Linked DNA regions of Callithrix jacchus. The protein of the gene in region 1 binds, or shares a complex with, the protein of each later gene. Links are inferred from orthologs where the notes say so. Each region holds a gene or a part of one and is shown on either strand. Other genes may lie near its edges.

Evidence for each region.
Region 2: GTF2F2 (region 1) and GTF2H5 share a complex: the UniProt entries of both Homo sapiens proteins name them as parts of the TBP-based Pol II pre-initiation complex. The link is inferred for Callithrix jacchus from reciprocal best matches to the Homo sapiens genes GTF2F2 and GTF2H5.
Region 3: GTF2F2 (region 1) and GTF2A1 share a complex: the UniProt entries of both Homo sapiens proteins name them as parts of the TBP-based Pol II pre-initiation complex. The link is inferred for Callithrix jacchus from reciprocal best matches to the Homo sapiens genes GTF2F2 and GTF2A1.
Region 4: GTF2F2 (region 1) and POLR2B share a complex: the UniProt entries of both Homo sapiens proteins name them as parts of the TBP-based Pol II pre-initiation complex. The link is inferred for Callithrix jacchus from reciprocal best matches to the Homo sapiens genes GTF2F2 and POLR2B.

The regions. Positions count from the first base shown.
Region 1 is NC_133506.1:164,480,332-164,487,678, forward strand, and holds the end of GTF2F2 (general transcription factor IIF subunit 2), read left to right. Parts: intron 1-5,219; coding exon 5,220-5,339; 3' UTR 5,340-5,743; downstream 5,744-7,347. UniProt on the Homo sapiens protein: TFIIF is a general transcription initiation factor that binds to RNA polymerase II and helps to recruit it to the initiation complex in collaboration with TFIIB.
Region 2 is NC_133505.1:164,988,902-164,996,914, forward strand, and holds the start of GTF2H5 (general transcription factor IIH subunit 5), read left to right. Parts: upstream 1-2,565; 5' UTR 2,566-3,182; intron 3,183-4,210; 5' UTR 4,211-4,248; coding exon 4,249-4,283; intron 4,284-8,013. Other genes in the region: protein SERAC1, read right to left, coding at 2,327-2,565. UniProt on the Homo sapiens protein: Component of the general transcription and DNA repair factor IIH (TFIIH) core complex, which is involved in general and transcription-coupled nucleotide excision repair (NER) of damaged DNA and, when complexed to CAK, in RNA transcription by RNA polymerase II.
Region 3 is NC_133509.1:116,180,373-116,188,367, reverse strand, and holds the start of GTF2A1 (transcription initiation factor IIA subunit 1), read left to right. Parts: upstream 1-3,297; 5' UTR 3,298-3,738; coding exon 3,739-3,768; intron 3,769-4,700; exon of another isoform or gene 4,701-4,774; intron 4,775-5,544; exon of another isoform or gene 5,545-5,728; intron 5,729-7,959; coding exon 7,960-7,995. UniProt on the Homo sapiens protein: TFIIA is a component of the transcription machinery of RNA polymerase II and plays an important role in transcriptional activation. TFIIA in a complex with TBP mediates transcriptional activity.
Region 4 is NC_133504.1:139,812,250-139,820,160, forward strand, and holds the start of POLR2B (DNA-directed RNA polymerase II subunit RPB2), read right to left. Parts: upstream 6,648-7,911; 5' UTR 6,549-6,647; coding exon 6,530-6,548; intron 983-6,529; coding exon 910-982; intron 1-909. UniProt on the Homo sapiens protein: Catalytic core component of RNA polymerase II (Pol II), a DNA-dependent RNA polymerase which synthesizes mRNA precursors and many functional non-coding RNAs using the four ribonucleoside triphosphates as substrates.

The DNA.
Region 1 (7,347 bases):
TGTCAGGGTAAATTTGCATATTGCAGATTCAGTCTCACTGTTGTGAGAAGGTTTTGTAACTAGAGGCCTTGGGTGTCATCTTGTTAACTTAAAGCATTGTAGTTGGCGATCAGCTGCATGTTTTTAATGAACATCTGTGAATTTAGGCAGAATTGATTTATTATTATTCTTATCACTGAAATGCCTGATGAGGTGAAATCCAGAGTGAGTCCTCCGTTTGTTTGACAGAGCAGGAGAGGAAAAGATGATATGAGAAATGGTAGGTGGTGGCGGGAGGGAAGAAAGGAGCAAAAGACTAAAATAGTAGGCCACCGTGCCGTATGACAGTTTGTCTCCGTCTTGGGGGCCAATTAGGAAGTTGATCCATGGATTTCTGGCTTTTTGCCCACTGTAGTTTTAACTTGACCCACAAATGCAAACAAACATCCTAATGACTTGACCTCTTTGGTCATTTCCTTCCAAGAAAGCTGTGATGTTCTGTCACTTCTCTGCATTCGGACTAGCTGTAAATCCTCTCCCACATCCTTTGGATGAAGAATTGCTGGACGACCTGAGCCAGCTTATTTCTGTCTTGGGCTGCAGCACGGCACATAGTCCGTAATGAGACGTATACCCAATCCTATGTGACATAAAGACGATCTACTCAGTTCCAGAATCCTTTGTTTAAAATACAGGTGGTTAGAGCAAAGATTTAATTGGAAGGAGTAAGTCATAGGAGGGGAACTCCTTTCTCCAGATCTGTACTCAGAATTGCTGTTCAAATCAAATGTTCAAACATCTTGATGCAGGCTGTGTTAGGTGTCCCTTCCCAGTGGTCTCATCATACTCTGTACACATGCCTCTAACTCGATTTTCTAATTACCTGCTAATATGCCTTTCTCTTTTTCCGTTTTTTTTCTTTTGAGATGGAGTTTTGTGCTGTTTCTGTTGCCCAGGCTGGAATGCAGTGGTGCAATCTCAGCTCACTGCAACCTCCGCCTCGCGGGTTCAATTGATTATCGTGGCTCAGCCTCCTGAATAGCTGGGACTACAGGCGCATGCCACCATGCCCGGCTAATTTTTGTATTTTTAGTAGAGACAAGATTTCTCTGTGTTGGCCAGCTGGTCTCAAACTCCTGACCTCAGGTGATCCACCCGCCTCCGCCTCCCAAAATGCTGGGATTACAGGTGTGAGCCACCGCGTCCGGCCTAATATGCCTTATTCTTGGCCCCCATCCCATGCACTAATCTTAAACCATGGACTCTGGGAAGAAGACTGACTGTCTATCATTCTACCCGGCACATTGTCGGTGCTGGAGTAAATATTTGAATGAATATAGATACAGGAATTTCAAAAAGAGAAATAAGATTACCAAATAATTTTCAATCCTGGTAGAACCTTTAAAACCTCTGCTTCAATTGGCTTTGTCACCAGCAACATTTTAGCACTAAAATGCAGATTTTAATAGTAAATGCCGTTCAGATTCAGGTTGTAACAGTTAAGTCAGTAAACTTTCGTTTCTCAAACTAGGTCACTGCTTGAGTTTTAAAAATAAACTGGAATTGAGTGGTCTGTTTTTATGGACCTTCTTAGTGGTATTCTCCACCACCCCGCATCCTCTTAGCTGCCTTGTTAGTCGTAAGCACACCCTGTTCACTCCGCATGAGTACGCTGAGTCTCTGTGACGTGCACACAGGCACTGCAACAGGAGCATGTGGGTTAGATGAAGAGCAAGGCATGTAAATAACGGATTATAATATAGTAAGAGCTACCATGGAAGAATGTGCAGTGTGAAATGTGAATCCGAGGTAAGGCTGTTAGAGAAAGTCACGTTTGAGCCTAGTCTTAAAGCATGAGGAAAGGAGATAAACATTACAAGGAAGGGAAATAGCATATGGAAAAACCCAGAAGCAGGTACGGAAATGGGAAGTGTGTGTAAGGGGGAGTGCTGGAAGATGAGGCCCAGGGAAGAAGGCCGACCTGAGTGGATGCCTGCGAAGGCGTTTGGAATTCAATGTGCAGGCCAAAGGGGGAAGTCACTGAAACATTTTAGACAGAGGAAGGACATGCTGTCTCTGTTTGCTGTCCATGTCTTCTTCCCTTTAGAGATTTTTTTTCTTGTTTTTCCCTATCATCACTACTGCTTTCTCTGCTAATGCTTTGTACCTGCTTCCCTGCCAAGATAATTTATTTATTTGATTACAGTAAAATGGTCTTGGCCGGGTGTGGTGGCTCAGGCCGATAATCCCAGCACTTTGGGAGGCTAGATGGGTGGATTGCCTAAGGTCGGTAGTTTGAGACCAGCCTGGCCAACATGGTAAAACCTCGTCTCTACTAAAAATACAAAAATTAGCCAGGTGTGGTGGCACATGCCTGTAATCCTAGGTACTGGGGAGGCTGAGGCAGGAGAATCCCTGGAACCCAGGAGGCAGAGGTTGCAATGAGCTGAGATCGCACCACTGCACTCCCCCCTGGGCAATAACAGCAAAACGCTGTCTCAAAAAAAAGAAAAAGGTCTTAGATTGCAGTTTAGAACATCCTACAAATCAGGAAGTTTGTGTGTCCCCTACCCCCTAGTCACAGTAGATTGTGACCGTGATTGCATTTTGTTGCTTGAAAAATTGACAGACCAGGATTATCTCATTCCATTTTTACTGTTACACGGAAAAAAGAATGACACCTTCTTGTATAAAAATAATTCCTTATATTCTACCAGTTTACCAGAATGAGCGTGAACATGAGAGCAACTGAATTTGTACTCTTAATACGTTCTCAGTATTCTGTGTTTAACCCTTTTTAGGCTTTTCATTTTCTGGGCCTAGATTATAAATGGGCCCTCGAGACTTGAAGTCAGGAGAGGTCTTCTCTGTGGGGCTACCACAGTGCTCCTGGAGGTGGCTTTTCGCTTTTGACCCTGTGCATCCACAGTGTGTGGCTGGTTGTGCGGCACCGTCTTAGCCAGTCTCACAATAAAACATTCTTTGGAATTTTACAAAGATGTCCTTCTTGGCACCTAAACAGAGAATCATTTGTCTCCAACCGATCATTTTCCATTTGTAAACCCTGCTCAATTAGAAAATCGTTTATGAATAGTGTCCTGTTTTTTAAATGTAATTTGAAAAACTGCTGTTGCCGGTGGCAGACTTGCATTTTATATTACCTGGATGTTTCAAGCCTTTATGCTTACTCATTCACACGGGTCTGCTAGTGAAGCCAACCGCAGGTGTGGGAGGCAGGCAAGCCTCAGGGGAACCCAGGGCTCCTTTGGTCCATTGCTGCCACCTGCTGGGGCCGGCTGATGGAATGGGAAGGCTGCCCAACAGCGAGCTAAGCCATCCTGAATGAACCTCAACCTCTGTGTAGTTCCAGTACTAGCCAGCTTTTGTGTTTCTAGGTGACAGTCTACCCCTGACTTCCAGTACTTTCTAGGTGACAGTCTACCCCTGACTTCCAGTACTTTCTAGGTGACAGTCTACCCCTGACTTCCAGTACTTTCTAGGTGACAGTCTACCCCTGACCAAAAGGACACTGTGAACTCTAGAGCGTTATGTCAGTCACTGTAAAGTGGTGTCACATTATGTTGGTGACACCTCATCTCCAGCAGTGATGAGGCCCTGAGAATGAAAACACACTAAGGACTCAAAGATCCTAGAGTTTCAGAGCTGGAAGAACCGTAAACCAGATGCAGTATGTAGTCACATGAGTCACCTAGGCACTTGTTAAAATGCAGGTTCCTGGGCCTAGCCCCAAAGACTTTGATTCGGTAGACCCAACATGTGTCTTATTTAACTGGCTTCCCACAAGGTTCTGATACAGGTCGTCTAGCATCACTGCAGAAGAGAAGAAAACTCCTGAGATATCCAGGCAAGAGCTTCTCAGCCGTTGTTCTTATTAATGCCTCGTTTCAATCAATAAGAAAAGTTATCTTTCATCAATGGGATGAGTCATCACCATACTGCAGCTGGTTCTTTGAAGCAGACGCACACAAAATAATTAACTTTCCTTCCTTCTCTAAGAAGGAAATCTGTACTTTGTATTGGGCAGCTTATTGTGGAATGCTTTTTGGCCTTGAGCATTGGCAAGCAAAGGTGGAGTTTCATATTACACTTAACATAGCCATTATTTCCATGACTGCATTAATCATTTAGTAAATGTTTGTTGAATTTTTAGGGACCTAAAACACCATCATACAGATTCTTTTCTTTGTAGAAGTAAAACACAAAGCTGCATCCCCGATAGTTTTTGAAGATGTCTTACTATCCCTTCTTTGTTGTCGTTGTTGAAATAGAGTTTGGTTCTTGTTGCCCAGGCTGGAGTGCAGTCTGGCTGACTGCACCCTCTGCATCCTGGATTCAAGCGATTCTCCTGCCTCAGCCTCCCTAGTAGTGGAGACAGGGTTTCACCATGTTGGCCAGGCTGGTCTCAAACTCCTGACCTCAGGTGATCCGCCCACCTCGGCCTCCCAAAGTGCTGGGATCACAGGCATGAGCCACCGTGCCCAACCTGATTATCACTTCTTGTTCCCTTCTCTGTGTGGCAAGCTTGGCTAAAGTACAAATAGCAGTAAATACAAATGACAAAAAATAAGTGGCCTAATAACAAATTTGAGAACTCACCTTAGAACTGAGGTTTCTGAATACCTGTCGTATGCCTGCTTGATAGAATATTCTCAGAAATGTTAGTCATTTTTTATGTATGCTGTTGCTCCCTGAAACTGCTGGTTTCAATCTGACTGTAAACTGAGTCCTTGAGGCTGCTGAGCTCAACGGCAGATTACACTTGGTGTACTGTGTCACACTGAGTGAGGACCAGTAATATTTTCATGTGTTTCAGCTAATGTTTTTTGTGTTTGTTTTAGCTTTTAAGTCATTGGCATTCAGGACTTTTATCCCCTTTAATGCAAATGATTATATAGTTAGTGCAGTGATCATATCACACATGTGGAATCAAAAGGCAGTTTACTTATAGATCAATCTTGCTGAGCTTTTAGGAGCATTTTTTTTTTTGAGATAGAGTCTCGCTCTGTCTCCAGGCACCAGGCTGCAGTGCAGTGGCGCGATCTCGGCTCACTGCAACCTCCGCCTCCCAGATTCAAGCAGTTCTCCTGCCTCAGCCTCCCGAGTAGCTGGGAGCATAGTTTTTATGACTTGCATACGTGCTTTGGCATAGCATCTTATTTTAAGTTTTGTTTGCTGCCTTTATAATCTCATTTATTAGGGTTTTTTTGTTTCTGCTTTAGGTGTACCTGAAGGAAATCTTAAAAGAAATTGGAGTTCAGAATGTAAAAGGGATCCACAAAAACACGTGGGAGCTGAAGCCAGAGTACAGACACTATCAAGGAGAAGAAAAGAGTGACTGAGGTGCCTCCCGGCCTGCATGCCAGTGAGACCACTAGCAGTATGCTGAGCAAAAGGCGCTTGAACACCGTATGTTAACAGGGGTGAAGCGACGACCCTACTTTCATTTCTCTCAGTAAATTTTTTAAACCTGTAATTCTTGTAAAGTTTCTTAACTGGTTTCTTTTATTTTGTTTTGTTTTGAGAAGAAAGAACAAATTTATTTATAGACTTCACTTGTATTAAACCAGATTATTCACAATGGGAATAGGGGTTAGAGGATTAAGAGGGTTTTTCTTAAGTATTAGCTTTTAAACATGTACAGTTAGGAAATGTTTTTTAAATGAGGGCTCTCTAACCTTCCTGTTATCTTTGAGGAGCTGAGGTAATGCAGATCCAAGGAGGATTGTATAGCAAAAAAGAAAAAGGCAGTCAGCTGTAGAAACTCATAGAAGGAATAAAAAGCCAAAGTTCCTTACTTAAAAATTGTCAAAGAACGACGCGGTGTTTTTCTTGTAAACAGGTGGTCGTGTTTCGTGTTCGTACTCAGTGTTAATAAAAGGAGAGCATGTAAGCTTGTAGTGAAATGGCAGTTTTCATGATTAGCCTGTTTTACCGTAGTGATACTGAAATGAGAAATATGCAGAATCGTGGTCAGTTGATGTTTCTTTTATTTGCTTTTAAGAAAATTAGAAATTAGGCTGGCTCATGCCTGTAATCCCAGCACTTTGGGAGGCCGAGGAGGGCAGATCACCTGAGGTCAGGAGTTTGAGACCAGCCTGGCTAGCATGGTGAAACCCCATCCCTGCTAAAAATACAAAAACCAGCCAAGTATAGTGGTGGGCTCCTGTAATCCCAGTTACTCAGGAGGCTGAGGCAGTAGGATCACTTGAATCTGGGAGGCAGAGGTTGCAGTGAGCCAAGATTACGCCATTGCACTCCAGCCGGGGTGACAGAGTGAGAGTCCATTTCAAAAAAAAAAAAAGAAAATTAGAAATTAAATATCTTTCCATAGTTTCAAGATATGTCTACCCCAGTCAGATTATAAGCTTCTCAAAACTGGTTTGCCCCCAGAATTTCACTACTCACCCAGCAGACATGTATTGACCATCACATGGCAAATGATATCAGCAGATAAGAGGGGCACAGGGGTATAGCTGAGACAGAAAAGGCTGGTTCCAATTCCTGGGTCATTTAATTGTTTCTTTTTTCTTTAATTAATTTTTAAATGAAAACAATACGTGTATATGTTAGAAGTTTTTTCTAGCACAACACATTATGTATTAGGCAATCCAAACTCATACCATCAAGACCACTAGACAAAAAAAGAAGCTTTAGTAAACTAAGCACAGGGAAAAGCTGTTTTTTTGTCAGCTGCTTCTGGATGCTTCCAACCAAGAGGTAGCAAGTGCCCAAGTTGCCATAGTGTTTGCAGGGGGAAAAAATGAGGGAAAAACAATCAAAATAAGTAGCAAGTGCTAAAAATTGAAGAAAATGTTACATAATTAAAACAAAGCAAGGAAATACCTATCCATTAAGAAAAACAACTTTTATATGATTTGCTTTTAGCAGCAAAACATTAGAATTCTGAGATTGTTAACAGCACTTATGTACATGCTGTAAAGTAAAATTCTGAGTAAGGAGGGTGTTCTCATTCCCATCCCACCCCAACCTGTCTTATGTATAGGAACCAAATGTGGTCTGCCCGTCACCTTCTGGTGCCTGATGACTGGAACCTCAGGGTCAGGAAGCCCGTGGATAAGGGTCTGATGAATCTATATGCAACTGAGAATTCTGGGTACCTGCCACGTGTTTGTTCGCAGCATGTGTCTTTCCCCAAACCTTGTTTTTCATATATGTGGTACTGCCCTGAAACAGACTTGTGTCTCCTTTGCTGAGGTCTTTTGTTTTTGTGACAGTGCCTGCCAGATTGAATGAGATGGCTGTGCCAGAAGAGACTCCAGGGCAGAGCTGTATCTTACTTGAAGCTTGGCTTTTTGTAACTGGTTTATTTAGCTTCTTTCAGACACC
Region 2 (8,013 bases), on another chromosome or scaffold:
TGGTCCTTTCTGTAACTTAAGATTACTCAGAAAGATTTTAAACAAAAGTTTGGGAGATAGTAGTGCTGGTTGCACAATGTGAATGTCACCAAACTCAACATCTCAAAATGGTTAACATGATGAATCTTATGTGTAACAAGATTTAACAGGCAAACAAAAAAGAAATCTTTCACAGAGACAATGGTCTCTTCTATTTCTTTTCAAATATCTTGCAGCTATGCCATTCATATTTAGATCTTTAATCTACCTGGAAACTACTGTTGTCAATAGTTTGAAAGCAAGAATCTAATCCTATCTGCTGTATTCCATAATGATGCCACATATCTCACATATCTTACCATCCTTTATTGAATAGTCTATGCTTTCCCCTTGCTTTGCAACACCACTCAGTGGTATACTAAGCTGCCATATGTAAATAGGTATGTCTCTAGTTTCTCTGTTCTGTTCCATGAACCTACTTCTCTATCCCTGAATCAATACCACACCATCTTGATAATTACAACTTCATATTAAGCTTTGGTATCTAATATGGACAGACCTTATTTTTCTTCTTTTTCAAAATTGACTTCCCAATTCTTGGTCCTTTGCCTTTCCATATAAATTTTAAGTTCAGCATGTCAAGTTCCATAAAACCATACAGTGATTTTAATTGGCATCACACTAAATTCACAGAAATTGGTAAAACTGGTATCTTCTTGTTGGGTCTTTCCATCCATGAATATGGTATATGTAACCATTTACCTGGGTCATCTTGTGTTCCAACAGAAACTTATACTTTTCTGTCTAAAGGACCACACAGTTTAGACCGATCTATTTCTAGATACCTTTAGTTGTGAATGCCATTATGAATAGTGTCTTTTTATTATTAAAACTCCTAGTTGTTACTGGTATATAGGTTTTTAAATGCAAAGTTCTTCCTGAAGGCTATTTCTGACATACCCCTGGCCAAAATAACCCTTCTAGTTACTCTTTATCACATCATCAAATGGTACCTTCTCCTTAACTGATTTCAGTGTCTCTCTGACCCCACCAAAATTAGTTTCTGATTCATCATTGTACCCCAAGTGCCTAGAATAGCTGGTACACATCAGGTGCATAAAAATGGAACTGATTAAGAGGTCAAGGAAGAGAATGTATTGCAAGATAAAAAAAAAAAAGCAAATAAAAGATTATTGGGAAGAAGAAGACTTGGAGACAATTTTGTTATTGTAAAGAGAGTGCAACAATACAGAAATCACCAGCTGGAAAATATTTGAGGGACAGAAAGAGGGAACTAAATGGAAGAGCTGGGTTCCCAAGAGATCACATGAATAAACACAATGTTAAAAAATAAAAATAAAAAACCAGCATGAGGCTGGGCACAGTGGCTCACGCCTGTAATCCCAGCACTTTGGGAGGCCAAGGCAGGCGGATCACCTGATGTCAGGAGTTCCAGACCAGCCTGGCCAATATGGCGAAACTCTGTCTCTACTGAAAATATAAAAATAAGCTGGGCGTGGTAGCACACGCCTGCAATCCCAGCTACTACGGAGACTGAGGCAGGAGAACTGCTTGAACAGGGGACCAAGGATGCAGTGAGCCCAGATCGCACCAATGCATTCCAGCCTGACCGACAGACCAAGACTATATCCAAAAAGAAAAGAAAAAAAAAAAAAGCAGCATGAGCTTAATCGCACCAATGCATTCCAGCCTGATCGACAGACCGAGACTATCTCCAAAAAGAAAAGATTAAAAAAAAAAAGCAGCATGAGCTTAATTGGGGAAATAGAATTTAATCTAAGGAACAGAAAACAAGAACCTCATATCTTAACTAGTAAAAATAATGAGGAGTGTTCCTTTAGACTGCAGAACAGATTTGGGGTAAGAGAATAACTTTAGAACCTTCTGGGGTCTTTCACTTTAAAATGACTGTTGCCGAGTTTTAGAGATGTCTCGGCATTCAATCTGTTCAATCTATGGGGTTAGAGAGGGAGCAGGAAGCAGCAGTCGGGAAGGCTCAGATGTGACCGGTGAGGCGGTTTCCTACTTGTCCTCATTATCTCTCCGTGACTACCGAGCCCGGGAAGACCAACTGGCAGGTGCACTCCCCGAGGCTTCGACAGCAGCCAGAGAAAGGCAGCGACCGGGAAAGACGAGTCAGGCTCGCGACTACCAGAAAGAGGCCCTCGCGCTCCGCAGAGCGTCCGCGGATCGGTCGGGTCCGCGCGCCTCACAGTGGTGCCCGGCCGTGCCAGGCCCCCGCCCTCCCCTCTCTCCACTGCCTACCGCGCCCAGCTACGCCGACGCCCCCGTCCGCCCCCACACCAGCCGGGCCTCCACGTCCTACCTGCCGGCACGCGGACTCGGCCAGTTTCCAACCACTCGCCGCACCCCGTAGGCTGGGGAGCCCTCTCTGCGGTGGCGGGCCCGGGCCCTCCACCAGGCGGCGGGCGGTTCACGACCCCGCCCCCTCGGCCCGCTGCGGGCCTGCCTCCCGCCGGCTCGCTCCACCCTCAACAGCGTCCCTAGCGCGATGACGTATAGACGCAGGCGCACTCTGTCGGCGACGCCGAGGCGCTTTTGCATCTGTGGGCCGAGGTGTGTGTGGCGAGCGTTGGAGCGGGTGGGGATAGTAGGGTGCGGGAAGACTGAGGGGTTCCAAAGAGAGAGGGGAAGAAGAGAAAAGTCCCAGAAGCCTGTCCACCGGGTGCTGGGGGCACAGGGCGGTGTTCTGCACTCTCTCCGGGCCCTTCCTGGCGGAGCTGCACGCCGGTCCCGCAATCATTTTTAATCGTGGGTTTCCTGTGGGGCGGCTCGCTTTGCACCCAGGTGTAAGTGGAAGGTTAAGTGGGCGGACGCTGAGTGGTTGCCTTCCAGCCTAGGTCCGCGGGGGATGTGGTTTATTTAATGAAGGAGCACGAGATCTGGCTTGTCCTTTTTTTTTTTTTAACTTTCCCGGGACCTAGGACTTAATTTGTTCCTTTGGTCTCCTCATCTGTAAAATGAGGTGGTTGGGTCCGGGTGCGGTGGCTCACACCTGCGGTCCCAACACTTTGGGAAGCCGAGGCGGGCGAATCACTGGAGACCAGGAGTTCGAGGCCAGCCTGGCCAACATGGTGAAACCCCCAGCTCCAATAAAAATACAATAAATTGGGCGGGTGCGGTGGCTCACGCCTGTAATCCCAGCGCTTTGTGAGGCCGAGGTAGGTGGATCATTTGAGATAAGGAGTTCGTGACCAGCCTGAAATCGCTTGAACCCTGGAGGCAGTGATTGCAGTGAGCCGAGATCACTCCACTCTGGGCGACAGAGCTAGACTCAGTCTCAAATTTAAAAAAAAAAAAAAATATATATATATATATATATATCTTTTTATATGCGTATATATATATATATGTACACACACACAAAATACAATACAGTAAATTTTTTTTTTTTTTTTTTTTTTTTTTTGAGACAGAGTCTCCCTCTGTGGCCAGGCGCCAGGCTGGAGTGCGGTGGCGCGATTTCCGCTCGCTGCAGCCTCCGCCTCCCTGGTTCCAGCAATTCTCTTGCCTCAGCAACTGGGACTACAGACGCGCACCACCACGCCCAGCTAATTTTTTATATTTTAGTAGAGACGGGGTTTCACTGTGTTGGCCTGGACAATACAGTAAATGAACCAGGCTTGGTGGCTCATTCCTGTAGTCCCAGCTACTCGGGAGGCTGAGGCAGGAGAATTGCTTGAACCTGGGAGGCGAAGGCTGCAGTGAGCGGAGATCGGGCCACTGCATTCCGGCCTGGGCGGCAGAGCCAGACCTTGTCTCAATAAAATGAGGTGGTTGGGCTCACTGTAATTTCTGAAGCACCTTTCAGAAGTGTCTTCTTTGATTCCTGTTTTTCAGGATCTTACCCTTTGTCATTATCCTGAATGGGAAAAGAAATCCTTTGATTACTGGATGGTTTACACCTGGATTGGGTACACTGGTGTAGTTAGGCCGCTTGCTTCTATTAGAGCTAATTGACCGTGGGTAGAATAGTTAGCAAGTAAGATGTGGCATTAATATTCCAAGCAGACTCGTTTTAATTTTGTTACAAAATCAGTATGTCTCTTTTCTTTAATGTTAACTGTCTTTCATAGACTTAACTGTTAAATATTGACGTTTAATATGTTGCCTCATTTCAGAGGCACATCCCCAAAATATATGAAAGTTAATGATTTTTAATTTAATGTCACCTTTTTCTTTTTATTAGCATTCTTGAGGTCATCTGAACCTTCTGACTGAGAAAAGATGGTCAACGTCTTGAAAGGAGTGCTTATAGAATGGTTAGTAGTTTTGATGCTTTATGAGTTTGAAGTTTAAATATTGAATCTTGACTTACATGTATATCTTTTCCAGAACCCTACTGTTTTTAAGATATGCATGAAATCAAGTCTTTTGCTTTCCCAACTTCAGTTTTCTTGTATAACAACTGGGACAGATTTCAGTCTCTTCTGTTGAATTGATGGAACTGGCATGATCAGAGGCAGCATATTTGTTAGATAAATCTTTAGAGAAACAGTGCTTGCATTCTCCTCAAACATGACTAGAATTCTAGGGCCTGAAAGAGTTTAGGAACTTGCTTACGTCTTTACCATTACAGACTGTGGACTTTATAAAAGAGAAAAACAAAAGAGCCAGATGGGGAGGGTTTCTTAAATTCCTTTAGATACAGTACAAAGGAGAAACTAAAAACCATAATGGGTAGGGGTAAGTTCCTCAAAGCAATCTAATGTATAGGAACCCTGGGAATCCTGCTCTATGGACACTCCCATTGTCTGAAAATACTGCTGTCTACCTTTCTGTGCCTCTAATATGAGCCAGTGCGTGGATAATGTTACTGTTTCCGTGATGGGCGTGGATAATGTTACTGTTTCCATGATGGCAAGGCTGAGGAGGAGCAAGACGAACTCGAGGACACCACCAACATTTAGAACAGCACTAACCAATAGAAATCTGATGCGAGCCACAGATAATAGGCTTACATTTTTTCTAGCCGCATCAAGAGGAAAGTCAAATGAAACAGGTGAAGTTAATTTCTTTTGTTTGACCCTGTAAATGCAAAACACTGTGCTTTCAACATGTACTAAGTCTTCAAAAGAAATCTTCATCTTCAAAGTCAAATGCATATTTTAATTTTATAGCACATCTCACAGACTAGCCATGTTTCAAGGAGTCTATAGTGACCTGACTAATGGGCCACCTTTTGTACTGTGCCAATTTGGAGTTTGGGTAGAGGAGACACCAACAAAGGCAACTAAGAAGAAAATAGCCAGTGCGATTGGAGGGAGGAAAGCCAAAGGAGGAAGTGTTTCACAGGGATGAGTGGGCTGTATTGGGCACTGATTGAGAACTGGCCCGAGATGAAGATTGCAGTTTTGATGAGAGCTGTTTTAATGGAGTGGTGGGGCAGATGCCAGATGGAGCACTGTGAAAAAGGAAAGGGAGGTGAGGAAGTGGGAATGGAGCCTTTGGAAAAGATTTGCTGTAATAATGAGCAAACGGATAGCTGAGGAAGGACATGGTGAGGGCTCAGGTTCTTGTTAATTTTATTTTAATGTGAAAGACTTGAATGTACGTTGATGAGAATAAACCCCTAGGGGAAAAGCAAAGGGGATGGGATCTGGAGCCCCGCAGTTCAAAACACACTTTTCTGTTGTCTTTTGAAGACTCTAGGTTTGATGTACTTATTTTCCTATTCATTTGTCATAACATAAACATTTTCCTGGTTGGCCTTTTAGTGTTATTTTTAAATACAGAGGATACACATGCACAGAATGTCAGCTATCAATTTTTTTTCCTTTTGTTTCTTCCAATTCTAAGTTTAATCTTCACCCCTGGGTTTGTTAAACATTGACTTCTCTTGTGGGGGTTTTGTGTTTTTCTTGGTGTTTTAAGGTTCATCCATCTAGAATTCATTGGAAGGAGAGGCATATTATGAGGTGAGGATCTAAATTAGCTGCTTTTCTGTTTTGAGCTTTTTTGTCTGCTCATTTTGCCAAATAGCTAAACAGTTCTCCACTGTTTATTTCCTTTCCCAATGATGCTTGATGCCGCCTTAGTCACATAATTTTACTCCCCTTTCTATTCTCTCCCATCCCTTCCCACATTCATTTTTGTTTGTTGTTGTTTTTGCCTATTCTAGAATAACCTTGAAATAATTTAGTCTGTTTCCAAAATAATCCTTTTGGCATGATGATTGAAATTGCATTAAACCTACGTTTTAATTTGGAAAAAAAAAAAAGGTGGCTAGATTGCATCTTAAAGAACAAAACTCTGGGACAGGTGCGGTGGTTCACGCCTGTAATCTCAACACTTTGGGAGGCCGAAGCGGATGAATCATGAGGTCAAGAGATGAAGACCATCCTGGCCAACATGGTGAAACCTCGTCTCTACAAAAAATACAAAAAAAAATTAGTCGGCATGATGGTGCATGCCTGTAATCCCAGCTACGCAGGAGGCTGAGGCAGGAGAATTGCTTGAAACCGGAAAACGGAAGTTGCAGGAAGCTGGTATCATGCCACTGCACTCTAGCCTGATGATAGAGCGAGACTCCATCTCAAAAAAAGAAAAGAACAAAACTCTGGGTCTCGAGACTTTGAAGTCTCAGTGCCTGGTTTGCTGTTCTGTATCTAGCCTCTGAATTCTGCCTGGTCTCTCTAATGTCTGTCCATCCCCTTGCACTTCAGGATAATCCCCAGACTAGCAGCAATAGCATCAGCTGGAGATTGTTAGAAATACTGAGTCTCAGACCTTACCCTAAATCTACTAAATCAGAATTGTGCATGCAAAGGACCTTGTTGGCGAGGCTCAGTGGCTCACACCTGTAATCCTAGCACTTGGGAGGCCAAGGCAGGTCAATCACCAGAGGTCAGAAGTTTCAGACCAGCCTGACCAACAAAGTGAAACCCTGTCTCTACTAAAAACACAAAAAATTAGCCGAGCGTGGTGGCAGGTGCCTGGTGCCTATAATCCTAGCTATTCAGGAGGCTGAGGCAGGAGAATCACTTGAACCCAGGAGGCAGAGATTTCAGTGAGCCAAGATCACACCATTACACTCCAGCCTGGGCAACAAGAGCAAAACTCTGTCAAAAAAAAAAAAAAGGACCTTGTTAAGATGCATTTACATTTTGAGAAGTACTGTTAATCAGCTTCAGTTTAATAGTTTCCCTATGGAGAAGTGCTTTGCACCAGGGCTGTTAAGTTTATTTTACAGGTAGGTACTGTCCTTGCAAAACTAATTTTTTCATTCAAAGTGATTTCTAAAGTGTAGTCTGCACAATTTTTCAAAAGGGTAACTCTGTCTTCCCCAAACACAGGTCTTCCAAAAAAGATTTTGGGCCTAAGAAATAACATAGAGTCACAAAGGGTACGTGACGGCCATCGCTAGTGGATTCCCCTTTGCAATCAGATGCCGATGTTAGGGTGGTAACTGGAAAAAGTCACTCAGTTTCCCTCCTGTACGTATTTGATGCCAAGGAGAAGCTTGTTATTAATACAGTATCAGCATGAGTCTGTTTATTCATAATATCCATGGATTACATGAAGCATTTAGGCGTATTGGAGGATGGGATTTGATAGGTCTGGAGTGTATAGGTAAACCATTCAAGGATCTTCTACAACTGTTGCAGGACACCAAAATTGAGGCTCAGCTCTGGAGGCCAAGTCAGTTTTGGCTTCATGCAGGAAAGAATTCAAGAGTGAGCAACAGTGAAAGTGAAAGCGAGTTTATTAAAAAATAAAGGAATGAAAGGATGGCTACCCCATAGGCAGGGTGGGGTGGGGCAGGTGGGCAGCAGGCCTGCTAACTGCCTATTTTATGGCCATTTCTTGATTATATGCTAAACAAGGGGTGGATTATTCCTGAGTTTCCTGGAAAAGAGACAGGGATTCTGTGGAACCAGGAGTCCCCGGTCCAGACCATATAGGGTAACTTCCAGATCTTGCCATGGCATTTGGAAACTGTCATGGTGCTGGTGGGGGTGTTTTTAGCGTGCTCAGGCATTAGGATTAGCG
Region 3 (7,995 bases), on another chromosome or scaffold:
TTCCTCACATGTACAGAACTAATTTGGGTGCTAATTTCTTCTTACAGTAACCACCAAAAATCTGTGCACGTGAAAATTGGCAGTTTCTTTGTAAATGCCAAAAACATAGATGAAATCTGAATGCAGTATAACTGTTTTTGGTAGTACTGAAATATCTATGCTCTCAATAGCTTAAATGAATGCTTATGACTATGCACTATATTTTAAAATAGGGGCTTTCATTTAGATTAGTAAACTTGCTGGGTACAGTGGCTTATACCTGTAATCCCAGTACTCTGGGAGGCTGAGGAAGGTGGATCACCTGAGGTCGGGAGTTCCAGACCAGCCTGGCCAGCACGGCGAAACCCTGTCTCTACCAAAAGTACAAAAATTGTCTGGGCTTAGTGACGTTTGTCTGTAATCTCAGCTACTTGGAAGGCTGAGGCAGGAGAATCACTTGAACACATGAGGCGAAGGCTGCAGTAGGCTGAGACTGTGCCACTGCACTCCAGCCTTGGTGACAGAGCGAGATTCCATTTTAAGAAAAAAAAAAAAAAAGAAAGAAATGATTAGTGAGCTTGAGGCATCTTTCTTCTTCAATTTTGTATCATTCCAAAATGCCCACTACTACTGAGCATATGAGGACATAAATGTGCCTCGAAACTGTTTTTTTTTTCTCTTTCTTCACTGTTTAAGAAAATGAAGTTTGATAGGAAGTCATGAGATTTTAGTTTAAGCCAATTTTCACAATCTTTTTAGACTTTTCTTCTTGGCGTTGTTGCTAGAAATAGTCATTTGGACTGTAAAACATTTAAATGTTTGGACATATAAGGTTTGGTGTCATTTTGTTGATGGTACAGCAAAACTTATACATTGATTTTTTTTCCTTTTCTTCTCTTGTTTTACAGTTATCTAGTGTTTAGGCTGCATATTAAAAGAAAGATGCAACATTTTATCTCCCAACATAAATCATTTTGAAGTTAAAAAACACACAACACAAACATTCATCACAAAGAGGGTACTATTATGCATCTCCCTAAATACATGGCTGTTACAAAGTATGAGATCACAAATAGCAAATCCTATATAGTAGAAATTGCTGTTAAAGTTAGAAACATCATTTAAGCTGTAGGAGACCAAGAGTAAAAAGTTCAGATAGAAACAATTTAAATATGATGCTAAATGTAGTCTTACTTGGGAGAAGTTTTCTCTCACAAATTTTCAGTTTTGTGAATTAAAGGCCTGCAGCTTCCAAGTATTCAGTCCGACAATTTTGGTGCAAGATCAGAAAACATTTCTCTCTGAAACTAAACTGGATGGCACACATAGGTTACAACGAAGGCATGTAATACCTATTGAGGGCTTGGAAAACCAACATATTGGAGTGGAATCCATGATGGCTGGATGCCAGACACACCATCTAATGCAAGTGCTTGGGTAAATATTAACCAAGTGCTTAGGTCTTTTTGTAATCTAGGTGTAAAGAAAGAACCTAACTCAGAGCCTCCAGGGAGTGTGATGGACTTAAGGAGGCCAGGATTGGGTTTTGTGCCACTTTAATCCAATAACTACATTCCACTATTTCACCGATTAATTCTGTGAAGAGCAAATCTCATAGCTTCTCTTCCATGTCCAGGGCAGTGGTTTCAACCTTAATTGATGGCAAAACTACTCAACCATTTATCAAGAATACGAAGTGGTAGGGGAGAAAACTAAGTGGAAGGTGAGGGATTCCATGTACAAAGCGTTTGGGAGTATGTATATAGGGAGGTAACAAGAAGTCCTCTCAATATGCAGTAAAATTTACCAGGAATGGTATTGTTTAGTGTAACTTTACAATTGGGCTATCACCTGAATATTAAATAAATCACAAATGTTGATTGAATCACAATTTTACATTGCTAAGAACACTGATTTCCTGTGATTTTTTTTCTTTAAGTGTTCCAGACCATGCAGCTGTGCAGGTAACTGGAAGTAATTGTTAAGAGGGGAATGGATTTGGTGTGAAAATAAATCTCAAGGTTCATAGATATTCTCCACACCCATTGATAATCTCCCATTTTCTGCGTATTAAAGGCCCCTGCTTTCTCTAATCCCTTTCTTCAGGTGTTGGCAGGCTGCATTTTTTTTTTTTTTTTCTCTTTGGTAAGATGCCTTTGACATTCTTCAAATCTGGTTTCACCAGCAAAGAACTTTTCGTTTTGCTCTGTCTTTGGAAGACAAACTCCTTCACTCATCCAGATGACATTTCAGGTCCCTCAAAATTCCAGGGGCTCCGTTCTGCTTGTAATGTTGATATAAAGGCAGGATTTGTTTGGACAGAGGAGGTCAAAAGCTTATTGGATTGCACTTCAAGACACGGGCACAGCCGCCGTGCTCTCTTATAACTAGAGGCCAAGCGATTTGGGTCAAGGGCATGTGTTTCAATGTGATCAGTCACTACACGTTGGCCATGCGGAGTAGTGGGATTTTGGCAGTATTTTTTAAAACCAGGGAAAGTTATTGTGCTGTTATAATCCAAAGGCTGGTGGGGTTGTCTCCCCTACTCCCCGCACCGCATTTCCACCACCGTGACAAATTATTTAAAGTACGTGGGCTAGTAGGGAACTAATCTCTGGGTAACCTAAGTAAGCCTGGTCTTCGTAGCGGACCCAGTGTGGAAACAAACCAAGTCAGAGGTTAGTAACTCTGGAATGTGAAAGTGGGCCCCAATCGGCTTTTACTCCCATTGGGAAATTCTACATAATTCTGCCCGCGAAAGACCCACCCTCGGCGAGGAGCGAACGCTCCGAGGCTCACAGTCAAAGCCTCGCTGACAAATCAAGAGATGACTCCGCATTTAAAACCGTCCCGAATCGGAACCCGCCAGAGGCCGGAAGCCGCACCACGTGACCAGTTCTCCGCGGCCATTCCTAGCGAGGCAGTCGCTACCGCTTGTCTCATTTCCTAGCTCCTCCAGCGCGGGACCGGGCGGAAACGTGCGACAGGAGGCGGTCCCACCTAGCTTTGGACTGGAATGTCACTAGAACTCGCGCCTTTTCCAGAAACGCTTTGCAAGTACTTCACCGCAAAGAACTGCGGCAGACTTCCGCCTGGGTGCCAACCACGTGATCACGCGAGAGTTGGAGAGGCGTAGGTCCGACTTCACTACTTCACTACCCAAGCTCCGCCAGTCGAGCACCCCCACCGCGCGTGACGACGCGGCTCGCGGCGGCCTCCGCCCCGACGCGCCTGCGCACGCGGCTCTCGCGGTGTCTCGCGCTCAGCCCCGCCCACCTCTGCCCCCGCCCTTTCCACCCCTCCCTCCCCCATCACCCTGTCTCTCAGCGGCGGCGGCGGCGGCGGCGGTTCGCGCAGCTTGTTGGCTCGCTATATAAAGGAGAGAAGCGAGCGGACCGGACGGCTGGAGCTGCAGCCGGTGGCAGCAGCGGCGGCGCAGGGAGCGGTGACCGGTGGTGGTTTCCCTCCTTGGCGCGGGGTGGGGAGCGGGCAACGCCCCCGGACCCCTTAAGGGTCGTGGATTTTTTTTTAAAAAGACGATTCTCGAGGTTTTTAGCTGCGGGAGGAGTGCCCCCCTCCTCCTCCTCCTCCTCCTCTCCGCTCTCCCCTACTCCTTCAGGATTGATTTTGTTTAAGTTTTTTTCCCCAATCTTGCGGTGACTTGGGTCACCCTCGGGTGTTTTAGTATTTTTTTTTTTTGGTTTTGTTTTTATCTTGTTTTCTTGGGGTTGCCCCCTCTTGTTTGTGTTGTGTGTGGAAATGGCGAACTCGGCAAATACAAACACCGTGGTAAGGACGTGGTTCGGTGGCCGGCGGGGGCTTCGTTCAGGCGGCAGCAACGGCCGGACCGGGCGGGGGCGGGGACGGCGGCGACTCCCGGCCTCGACTCTTCAGCCGCCCGCGCGGCCGCCGCCGCTGCCGCCGCCGCTTCCCGCCTCGGGCGGATCGGGCCGGGGCGGCGGGCGGCGGGCGCGGGGGGGCGCCGAGGGCTCGCGGCTCGGGGAGGGCGGGGGCGCCGGCGGGGCCTGGGGCCGCCGCGGGCCGGGTCGGGCCGCGGAGGCGGTTGGGCCCGGGCGGGCGCGCAGCCCCGGCCCCAGAACCCGGCCCCCGGGAGGGAGGGCGTGAGGGGAGCCGCCGCTTCCCCCCGAGGGGCCCGTCCGCGCTGGCTAGACGATGGCTCCCCGAGCGGCTTAAGAACAAAAACCGTGTCTGGGGAATCGGGCGAACCCCTGAGACCCACCGTGATCCACTTTAATGCAGTGGAGGATTAATGGCTACTTTTGGGGGTTACTTAGGTTTTTTCCTGGCAGTTGTGCTTTGGGAACCTTCACTGGGGCCATTTTATGTTTAAAAAAAGGACTAAGGTTGTTTGAAAAGCACTTATCTCAGTTCCTTCCGAATGGGTAAAATGGCGAAGGGGAAGCAACCCCCCCCCCATCGTATCTTCGACTAGCAAAAGCACCAAAACAAACAAAAAAAGCCTACAGTGGTCCAAGTGTCCCTGCTTTCGCCTTGAAATTTGCCTACTTCTTCCCGTTGGTCCCTTTTTGGTTATTTGCGATCACGTAGGTTTGCAAAAAGCAGTCACATAAATAACCTTTTCAGTCACCAACGCAATGTGATCACTAGTCCCCCCAACTCTTATTTTTATATGACAATAAAACACGTTTTTGCCCGGTCCCAAATGCCGCAGACTAGCCCGCGGCCGCCCGACACCGTACCGTTGGCGACTCGGGTCGATCCATCATGGCTGCGGCCGCTTACCCTGCTTTTCAGTCCCTGAGCTTTGTGGTCCTCCTCCCTTTGGCTGCCCTGTTTATATAGAGCCATTGCCGCTCTCTAATATAGACTCTGCCAGGATGGGTAGGTGCTTTTCAGGCCTACGTCACCGCCTCTCCATTTAAACACCAGATCCGGCTTTAAATAGTGAGAGCTGCTGAGAGCGGGGCTGGGAGGTGCGTGCTCCCGAGGCGAGAGCCAGGCGCGTGCGGAGCTCAGTTTATTTGTAGGTCCTTTTTTCACGCTGTAATTTCGCGCCTGTCGGGGGCTGCTTTCAGAGCCCCAAGTTTTTGTTTTGTTCCTAGCAGCAGCTAGGAATTACCTTCTTTTGTTTGTTAGGGGAAATATATCCGAATCGCTGTCCGTTTTTATTTACAATTTTCAAAATATGAAAACAAAGAATTTTTGATCAGATAGTCTAGTGATTTTCCTGTGTGCATTATTTTCAGGAATTAAAAAAACTGCTTTCTACAAAGTGTTAGCTGCAGAGGACTTGGTTTTTGTTGTATTTTGTTCAAATATTCAGGAAACAGGTTAGAAATACAGCTCCTAATATTTCATTATGTTTTTCTATAGTAAATCTAAAAGACACGAGGCCTTTCAGAGAAATAGATAAGTGCCTGAAGCTTCAGAATAGGACCATTTATGTGTAGGGGAATCGTGAGTAATTAGAGGGAAGAGACTTAGTGCAAACTGGATTTTAAAAAACTGTTAAGTAGAACTTTATCGCCTTGGATATTATTAACACAGTATCCAGTATAAAAATTATTTCAATTTATTTTTCAGCATTGCATCAGGGAATTAACATTTTTGAAGGAAACCTCCTAAGAAATCACTTAATAATGCCACTAGTGGCCCTCTGATAAACCAGTTTTCAAGTTTGAAATACCTGTCTTTTTAAAAATCAGGACAAACCTAAACTATTTCGTGAGAAACGGAAACTTTGACTCAATAGAGTGAAGAATTTTAGGTACTAGTTTATAAATTGCTTATTTCAAATAATGCCTATGTGCCCACATAGTTTTCAAAAATTCGTGTCTTGAGTGCTTTTCAAATTGTGAACAATTCTAAATTATTCATTGGGCATATACTTTGTGAAGCATACACGTTTCCCTTCTTTAAACTATAGTGCTTATGAAGCTGTTAAGTGATCAAGTTGTGAGTTCATTAAGGCACAAAAATAAAATCTTAAAGAATGATTCATTAAGTAGAGGAGTACCAGAAGAAAGCAAATTTATACCTATATATCTCTGGATCTCCAAGCAAAAGGTTTTTAGAGGTAACTGATTTGAGGAACACCACACCATCTAGTTTACTGAAAAGCATTATGTATTGTCAATTTGAGATTTATGCTCCCAATTTAAAATACATTGCCCTTCTAATGCCTTGAGGAGTCATTATTGATTAAAAAACAAAACACTATAGAGATACTTTTGTAATTCAGCAGTTAAATTAATTTAGTTAAGATGATGTCCATAGTCACATATACTTTCCTTATATGTAGAAACAGAATGAATGTTAAAGCAGGGACGATAGAAATGTTCATTTTGCAGATGAGTAATTTAAGCTTCAAGAGGCAGATTGGGCGAAATAAAGAGGTTAGTGAGTGAGTGGAACAGTAAAGCAAGAACCCAGATATTTGAATTGGTTTTCTTTTAATGAGAAGGAGTGAATAGTTTTTAATGGTTGAGGTAAATTGTACTGACAAATTTATTATTTGTATTTTGTTTGTTTTGTTTTCAGAGACAGGCTCTGGCCCTGTCACCCAGGCTGGAGTGCAATGGCACAGTCTTGGCTCACTGCACCCTTTCCCTCCTGGGCTCAAGCCATCCACCGCAACCTCCCAAATAGCTGGGACTATACAGGCACGAGCCACCACTCCTGGCTAATTTTTTTTGTAGATGCAGAGTTTTTCACCGTATTGTCCAAGCTGGTCTCAAACTCCTGAGCTCAAGCAGTCCTCCCAAAAAGCTGGATTGCTGGTGTTAGCCATTGCACCTTCCCTCATTATTTCTAGTTTTGACAAGGCAAGGACACATTTTCTTAGCAGTTCCACTGTGATAACAGTGTTGCTGATAGAGATGGTAGTGAAACATATTTCTGTTTGAAGTTTGCTTATGAGAACAAACCCTTGGTTTTATTTGGTAGCCATTAACTTTTACCTTAAGCAAGGTATGAAACACGAGTAATGACAGAGCATCTAAAAAACTTGTTAACCATAACTCTGTAATAATGGGGGATTTATAACCAGGGAACTCTGGTTTTGTCAAGGCAATTCTAGTTTTGTCTTCTGACATGACTTCCTTTTTTCTAACAGGTTAAAAATAGGACATGGGGAACAAAAAAAGAAGGATGTGGATTGGGCTGATTGTTTTATCTCTCACCTTGGAGTTTTTTAAAAAATATTTTATACTCTGAAAGTTCTTTCACATCTCTTCTCATTTTGCTCATTTTACCATTCAACCTTTAGAAGCCAGCTCCTTTACTTCCCCGCTCCGCCTTCAAGTAATACCAACAATGCAAATTGTAATAATCGTAATAATAAACATTTAGAGGATTCATGTTCATTATAATGTTCTTTTGCATTACCTGGGCAGTAGTAGAGGAGAAATCCTGGGAAGGAAATCAGTGTTCCTTGTTCCTTGGGACGTTCAGACTTCTTATTATGAGTGTATGAATAGTTTAATGATACAGCTTGAAAGGATAGATTGGGTCGGTCACTCAACAGAAGTTAGGTGATTTTTAAACCTGATTGTTCATTAGGTTGCAGATTATTACCAGGTAGATGACTGCCGTACATAGCATTCTCCAAAGTCTAAGATTTAGTTGTGAGATAGTGAGATACAGCAGAGTTCAAACCAAGCACGAAATAGTAGAAGCTAGACATAAGCAACCCGTACAGCTATTTTTGAACATTACATTAGGTGTTTTGACTACAACATAGGAAATTATAATTGGAAATTGTATGGACCTTGTAGTTTTAGTGTATGAATTGCATTAATCTTAAAATTTTTATTAAAGTATGCAGTTATCAAATCTAGTTTATGGCAAATGAGGTCTATTAGGGTGGTCATATCTTGAAAGTCATATATAGATAGTTGGCAAAGATGACATGTATTTGTTTTGAATTTGTGAAACTCTGTTATACATTATAACCTGTGAAAAACTGTCTTTTTCAAGTCTTTTATTTTTCCCTTGAAGCCTAAATTATACAGATCTGTGATTGAAGATGTCATT
Region 4 (7,911 bases), on another chromosome or scaffold:
CTTGAATACAGGAGGTGGAGGTTGAAGTGAGCCAAGACTGCGCCATTGCACTCTAGCCTGGGCAACAAGAGTGAAATTCTGTCTCAAAAATAAAATAAGATAAATTTTTATTTTGCTCTAAATATCAGTGAGACAACTGGCAAAATGTAGGTAAGGTCCATAGATTAAATAAGATCACCATAATCGTGATTATGTAAAAAAAATGTCCTTATGTCTGCAAGTGTTTTTGTTTTGTTTCAGGGTCAGCTGGACATGGTGGCTCATGTCTGTAATCCCAGCACTTTGGGAGGCTGAGGTACATAGTAGATCACAAGGTCAAGAGATTGAGACCATCCTGGCCAACATGGTGAAACTCCCTTTCTACCAAAAATACAAAAATTAGCTGAGTGTGGTGGCGTGCACCTGTAGTCCCAGCTACTTGGGAGCCTGAGGTAGAAGAATCACTTGAACCCAGAAGAGAGAAGTTGCAGTGAGCCAAAATCGTGCTACTACATCCAGCCTGGTGACAGAGTGAGACTTCATCTCAAAAACAAAAAAAAAAAGAAAAAAGAAACAGGGTCTCACTTTGCCACACAGGCTGGAGTGCAGTGGTGAGATCTCAGCTCACTGTAGCCTCAACCTCCCACGCTCAAGTGATCTGTAAGTTACTCTCACCATGTTTCAGAAAAAAGTATGTACAAAAAGGAAAAAAGACAAAGAAAACGTAGTACGAGATAATATTTTCAGAATCTGCGTGAAGTGATTAAATGATTTCTTTGTGCAACTTTTAGGTCTGAAATACTTTAAAAATATATAAATAAAATAATAAATACTCTCATATAGCATATTTATACAGAACATCTATTTATCAAGAATAAGCAGAAAATCTACAGTGTCTTTTCAAGCTTATTCAGTTTGGTCCATAGTTACCTGATTACAATCCAGCATGCTTCTTGCCACAAATCCGGAGTGATTTCATCATCATCCTCATCATACTGCATATCTGTAAAAACAAAATATTATACTCATTTGCAACAAGATGCCACTTAGTTAACATCTTGCTCCTACGACTTTACATATGACTTTAAGTAGCAAAAACATATTTTCTTTCTGCTGAATAAGTAATCCTTTCACCCCACTTTTCTAAATTTCAATTACATTAATAAAATAATTTATGTCTGCCACACAGGTATTCTTTCAATACACAAAGAGGCTTACTAGAAAGGTTCAATGTAAGTTGTATGAATTTTAAGTTTTCCATTTTATTGATCAATAAGATTTTCAGAGACTAGAGTCAGAGAACAGGGTAAGGGGGCAGAGCCATGGAAGGATTCCAACAGCTGGGCAACACCCTAAGGTGGGGTGATCTATTACAGCAACATTTCATACATGTACAGGTATGAAAGATTGCATTTTCCAAACATGCCACAAGCCTATCTCCCATCCCACATGGTCTTCTATAAAGTGATCTTAATACTCCTATCATCAGATATAGTGGTCTATGCATCCTTTCTCTGAATCTGGGTAGCCTTTGACTCTCCTGTAACTAGGAGAATGCAGCTGAAGGTCAGGCGTGGTGGCTCACACCTGTAATCCCAACACTTTGGAAGGCCAAGGCGGGCGGATCACCTGAGGTTGGGAGTTTGAGACCAGCCTGACCAACATGGTGAAACCCTGTCTCTACTAAAAATACAAAATCAGCCAGGCATGGTGGCACATGCCTATAATCCCAGCCACTTGGGAGGCCAAAGAAGGAGAATCACTTGAACCAGGGCGGCAGAGGCTGCAGTGAGCCAAGATTGCACCATTGCACTCCAGCCTGGGCAACAAAAGCAAAACTCCATCTCAAAAAAAAAAAGAATGTAGCTGAAGTAATGCTGCAATGCTGCATGACTTCAAAAGCAAGATCAGAAAAGGCAATGCAGTTTCTGTAATGTATGTTAAAACACTTGCTTCTGGAGCCCTGAGCTGTCATTAAAAAGTCAGACACAGGCCAGGCACAGTGGCTCAGGTCTATAATCCTAGCACTTTGGGAGGCCAAAGGTGGATGGATCACTGGTGGGAGGTCAGGAGTTCAAGACCAGCCAAGCCAATATGGCAAAACCCAGTCTCTACTAAAAAATACAAAACTTAGCTGGGCATGGGGGCACATGCCTGTAATCCCAGCTACTCAGGAGGCTGAGGCAGGAGAATTGCTTGAACCCAGGAGACAGAGGTTGCAGTGAACTGAGATGGCACCACTCCTGCCTAGGCAACAGAGCAAGACTCCATCTTAAAAAAATTTTTTTTTTTAATTTTTAAGTCAAACACTATTCTGAAGCTGCTACATTCTGAGGAAGCCCAGACTGTAAGGAGAGGCCACTTACAGGTACTCCATTAGCAATTTTAGTCCTTGAGTCCTACTGGGATATGTCTCATGTCAGACATGAGTGTCAATACTATAGATCTGTCACCCAGCTGTCAACATTCAGCCTTAATGACTTCCCAAATGAACAAGATTCACAGTGGAACACAGGCAAGTCATGCCTGTTATGCCCTGTTCAAAATCTTGACCTACAGTATCCATGAACATAACAAAGAAATTTTTTAAGTAGCTAAATTTTAGTGTAGTTGTACAATAGTAATTTACGCATTCAAAAGAATCAGTGTGCATTGTTCCTCCAATATTAGTCCAATCTTCTTATGTGAAAGAAGAAGTGTGCTGTATTTTTGGGGTTTATTCTAATGTACACAAATATAGCCTGTAAACCTTAAGAGCTTTGGGTTCAAAATCTGATACATATACAAAATAAATTTTTAATAAATCCTTCTTGAATGGACTGAAATTATCAATCCTTACACATGGGGAAAGGGTAAGAAAGACAAAACTATCTATGATAGCTCAGATATTTCTAGCTTTGATGGGAGATTAAAAGCTAGTATCACTGCCACAGAGGAGCAAGTAAAATGGTAGAAGAAAGAGGTCATGATTAGGTCGGCTTTAGAGATATCTGTAGATCAAATACACACGTGTATGAATATAAACTCAAATGAACAGTCTAAATTATAAACAAAGAACATGTGACACATAATCAATATACACTGACACATAACAGACGTAGATCTATTATGTATCAATAAACGTTTTAAACTTTGAAAAAAGTACAGAGTTGGAATCATTAATAAATGAGCAATAGAAAAAGGAGATTTTACACAGAGAAGGAAGACTGAAGGCAGGGTACTTGGGAACACTTTTGTTTAAGGGTCATATGAAAAAGAAAACGAACCCATAAAGGAGACTCATTTACTCATCCATTCATCAAATTTTTTCTGAGGCAGGACGCAGTGGCTCACGCCTGTAATCCCAGCACTTTGGGAGGCCAAGGTGGGTGGATCCCCTGAGGTCAGGAGTTCAAGACCAGCCTGACCAACATGAAGAAATCCCATCTCTATTAAAAAAAATTTTTTTAATTTAGCTGGGTGTGATGGCACATGCCTGTAATCCCAGCTCCTCGGGAGTCTGAAGCAGGAGTAATGGCTTGAACCCCGGAGGTGGAGGTTGCGGTGAGTTGAGATCACACCGTGCCGAGATCACGCCATTACACTCCAGCCTGGGCAACAAGAGCAAAACTCTGTCTCAAAAAAAAAAAAAAAAAAAGTTTAACTTGTTTCCATGTGGATGACAGAAATCCAACACTTTCACATAGAAAGAAGCCAGCTGAAAAGGAGTCGCTAAAAACTGATGAGGACATACCTAATAAACATTTTAGATGACATGGGCACAAATAAAATGTAGCTTCACTGCTAAAGCAACTCTGATTAACTCTTGTTTTCCCACAGGATCATTATACATGACCAATAAGAATACAAAATTAGAACAGTCACCACTGTGGTGGTCACTTGCCACCATTTAGCAAAATCTTAAAGGTGCGTATCATCTGACCTGACAATTTTATATGTAGGAATGTATCCTAAAGACATATTTGGGCAAATTATATGTACAAGATTATTCACTCTCAGTACTGTTTTAACGGAAAAAGACTAGAAATAAATCAAATCAAATATCCATCAAGACACTAAAGTTACATCCACACAAACTATTTAGCTGGGGGCGGAGGCAGGGGCGGCAGCAAGTGATGCTCTCTGTGTACTGACAAGAACATCTCCATTAAGCAAAATCTAAAAGTGGAGTAAAGTGTAAACGTTACTTTCTGTCCTTAAAAAAAGAAAACAATCCCATTTATATTTGCTTAAATATGCATAAAGAAACTGTAGAGGCTGTGCGCCAACGCCTCAGACCTGTAATCCCAGCACTTTGGGAGGCCGAGGCAGGTGAATCACTGAGGTCAGGAGTTTGAGATCAGCCTAGCCAACAAGGAGAAACCCCATCTCTACTAAATGTACAAAAATTAGCTGGGCATGGTGGTGCACGCCTGTAATTCCAGCTACCTGGGAGGCTGAGACAGGAGAACTGATTGAACCAGGGAGGCAATGGTTAGTAAGCCAAGATTGCACTACTGCACTCAAGCCTGGGTACAGAGCAATACTCTGTCAAAAAACAAAAAGAAACTGTGGAGTGATAAGAACCTATTATAACACTAGTTGCCTACTGTGGTCAACTGGGCAGATGGTAGATAAGAAGGAGACCTAACACTTTTAACTTTTTTTTTTTTTTTTTTGGAGACGGTCTCACTTTGTCCTCAACTTACAGCAGTGTCAACTTCCCAAGCTCAAGTGATCCTCCTGCCTCAGCCACCCAAGTAGCTGGGACTATAGGTGAGCACCACCACACTCTAGCTAATTTTTTACAGAGAGGGGGGTCTCCCGTGTTGCCCAGGCTGGTCTCAGTTGTTAAAGTAGCCACCGTATTTTAACATTTTTAAATTTTCTGGTTTGTGAGCTATGAGAATATATTACCTAGCCAAAAATTATGCTTTAAAAAATCTTTTTTTCTATTTTTCTTCTACTGAGAGAGTAGTTAACAGGGAATATGATGATGCTAATACATTTCTGGAACACAAGATATTAATGAGAAAGAAGTTTAAACAGCTTTAAAAGTTTAAGCTTTTGGGCAGGGACAGTGGCTCATGCCTGTAATCCCTGCATTTTGGGAGGTCAAGTCAGGCGGATGGCTTGATCTCAGGAATTTGAGACCAGCCTGGGCAACATGGCTAGACCCCATCTCTTTTAAAAAAAAAAAAAAAAAAAAAGAGGCGAGGTAGCGCACACTTGTAATCCCAGCACTTTGGGAGGCTGAGGTGGGCAGATCACAAGATCAGGAGTTCGAGACCAGCCTGGCCAACAGAGTGAAACCCCTCTCTTCTACTAAAAGTACAAAAATAAACTGGGTGTGGTGGTGGGGACCTGTAATCCCAGCTACTCGGGAGGCTGAGGCAGGAGAATCGCTTGAACCCAGGAGGCGGAGGTTGCAAAGAGCCAAGATCGTGCCACTGCACTCCAGCCTAGAGCTAGACTGAGTCTCAAAAGAAAAAAAAAGTTTAAGCTTTTGCTTCAATTTTTTCCATCTAATTTATCAGAAGTAGCTGAGGAAATAGAGATGTAAGGGGTAGCCACAGAATTAAGAGCTAGAAGAAAATAAGGTTTGAATTAGTAGATACGGAGAATGGAAAAGGCAGCTATGGAAAAGGCAGCTACGAAAATACACTAGACTCGACTAAGAATTTTTTTTTTTTTTTGAGATGGGTGTCACTCAGGCTGGAGTGCAGTGGTGCAATCTCGGGTCACTGCAACCTCCGCCTCCTGGGTTCAAGTGATCCTCCGGTCTCAGCCTCCTGAGTAGACGGGAATCCAGGCGCAGGCCACCACACTCAGCTAATTTTTCTATTTTTAGTAGATATGGGATTTCCCCCATGTTGGTCAGGCTGGTCTCAAGCAATCGGCGCGCCTCGGCCTCCCAAAGTGCTGGGGTGAGCCATTGCACTCAGCCACTACTAAGAAATCTATATGCGCAAAGAAAAAGCTATACACTGGTCCGGTGCAACAGAATATATATCATCTGAGAACTGTGGCATTGTGAGAAGAAGGTTAAAGGCCATCCTTTAAGACAATTTCACTTACAAAAAGCATGAAGAAATGTGAGACTAAACCGTTTCGCCCCCCACCCCCCTCCTCCGATAGTCTGTCCCGGTGTATTTCCAGGGCCTTCCGCATTGCCTTGCACATGCTGACATCAATTGAGCTATTCAGTAAATCGACTGTGGCTTTTAGGATAATTTTTAAAGGGTGCCCTTTGCTTCAGACAAATTCAAAACAACGGAATTTATCTTACGGTTCTGCACGCTACTACAATACAGGAGGCGGGGATTAGATCTAACGGAACGAGAAAGGGCAGAGAGCAGCAGTGAACCTAATCAGCAACATTAATGCTATGTTCCCTGCACCCTCTGCCCCTCCCTAGCCTAGTTTCGTTCCCGGCGTGGAAAGTATGGTAACAAGGCTGGGGACCACGCGGCCGGCGCGTGGGAAGGCCCCAAATCCTCCATCCGACCACTTCCCCACGCTTCCCTGCTTAAATGGACCGCCATGGCGTGTGTTTTGAGTGTTCACCTACCCTCATCCGCGTCGTACATACTGCCAAAAGATTCCCGAGTTCCTAACTCTAGAAACCGAAAAGACAAAAGAGCGCACAGAAGCCACCAGCGTCTGGAGCTATAGACGAATTAACTTCCGTCTCCAGCGTTCCCAGAATACTATGCGTCTCACACGAAGGCCGCCCACAAGGACGCCAAAGTTAGGATCTGCGCCTGCGCAAAGTGTAGGGCGCGCTGGGGCGGGCATTAGAGTTGCCTACGCGCAAATTGTGTGCCGCCGCTGTTGGTGGCTGATTGAAAAGACAGCTCTCGCAATCTGCGGTCGGATCCGTCCCGTGAATGTTTTATTTCTGCTTGTTTTTTAATGTTGTTGCACAAATAACGACAGCTGAAAACAAAACCAAGTATAGTTATTAATAAAAAGTGTTCGTTCTGTGAATCCGCGACATTGGGATGTTAAATTTATTTGCCTTTTTAAGGACCAAAACAACACGAAGCTATGTTTTATTTTTATTTATTTAATTTTTGAAACGGAGTCTCGTTCTGTTGCCCAGACTGGAGTGCAGTGGAGTGATCTTCGCTCACTGCAACTTCTGCCTCCCAGGTTCAAGCGATTCTCCTGTCTCTGCCTCCCAGGTAGCTGGGATTACAGGCGCGCGCCACCATGCCCAGCTAATTTTTGTATTTTTAGTAGAGACGGGGCTTTCACCATGTTGGCCGGGCTGGTCTCGAACTGCTGACCTGAGGTGATCCACCCGCCTCGGCCTCTCCAAGTGCTGACAGACGTGAGCCACGCGCCCGGCCGGAAGCTCGTTTTTAAATGTGATTTATTAAGGGCTGCTTGTGATAGCAGTGAGGCGTTAAAGATGGTGGAAAGTGAAAAACCGGCCGGGCGCGGTGGCTCACGCCTATAATCCCTGCACTTTGGGAGGCCGAGGCGGGTGGATCACGAGGTCAAGAGATCGAGACCATCCTGGTCAACAAGGTGAAACCCTGTCTCTACTAAAAATACAAAAATTAGCTGGGCATGGTGGTGCGCACCTGTAGTCCCAGCTACTCGGGAGGCTGAGGCAATAGAATTGCTTGAACCCAGACGGCAGACGTTGCGGTGAGCCGAGATCGTGCCATTGCACTCCAGTCTGGGTAACAACAGCGAAACTCCGTCTCAAAAAAAAAAGAAAGTGAAAAACCCAAAGCACACGCAGATCTCTTCCGCCCACCTAGCTTAACCCTCCGGTGCCTTTGCGGCAGCTTTAACTAGGTTCTCAGTCTCAGCGCTTTAATCGCGAGAACACACGGGATTAGACAGGAGAAGAACCAAGACACCTCCCAAGTACCCACGCGCTTTAGTCTCGGGTCTCGCGCGCCTCGGGGCCTAGTGAGCGCGCGAGCTTGTGGCTCC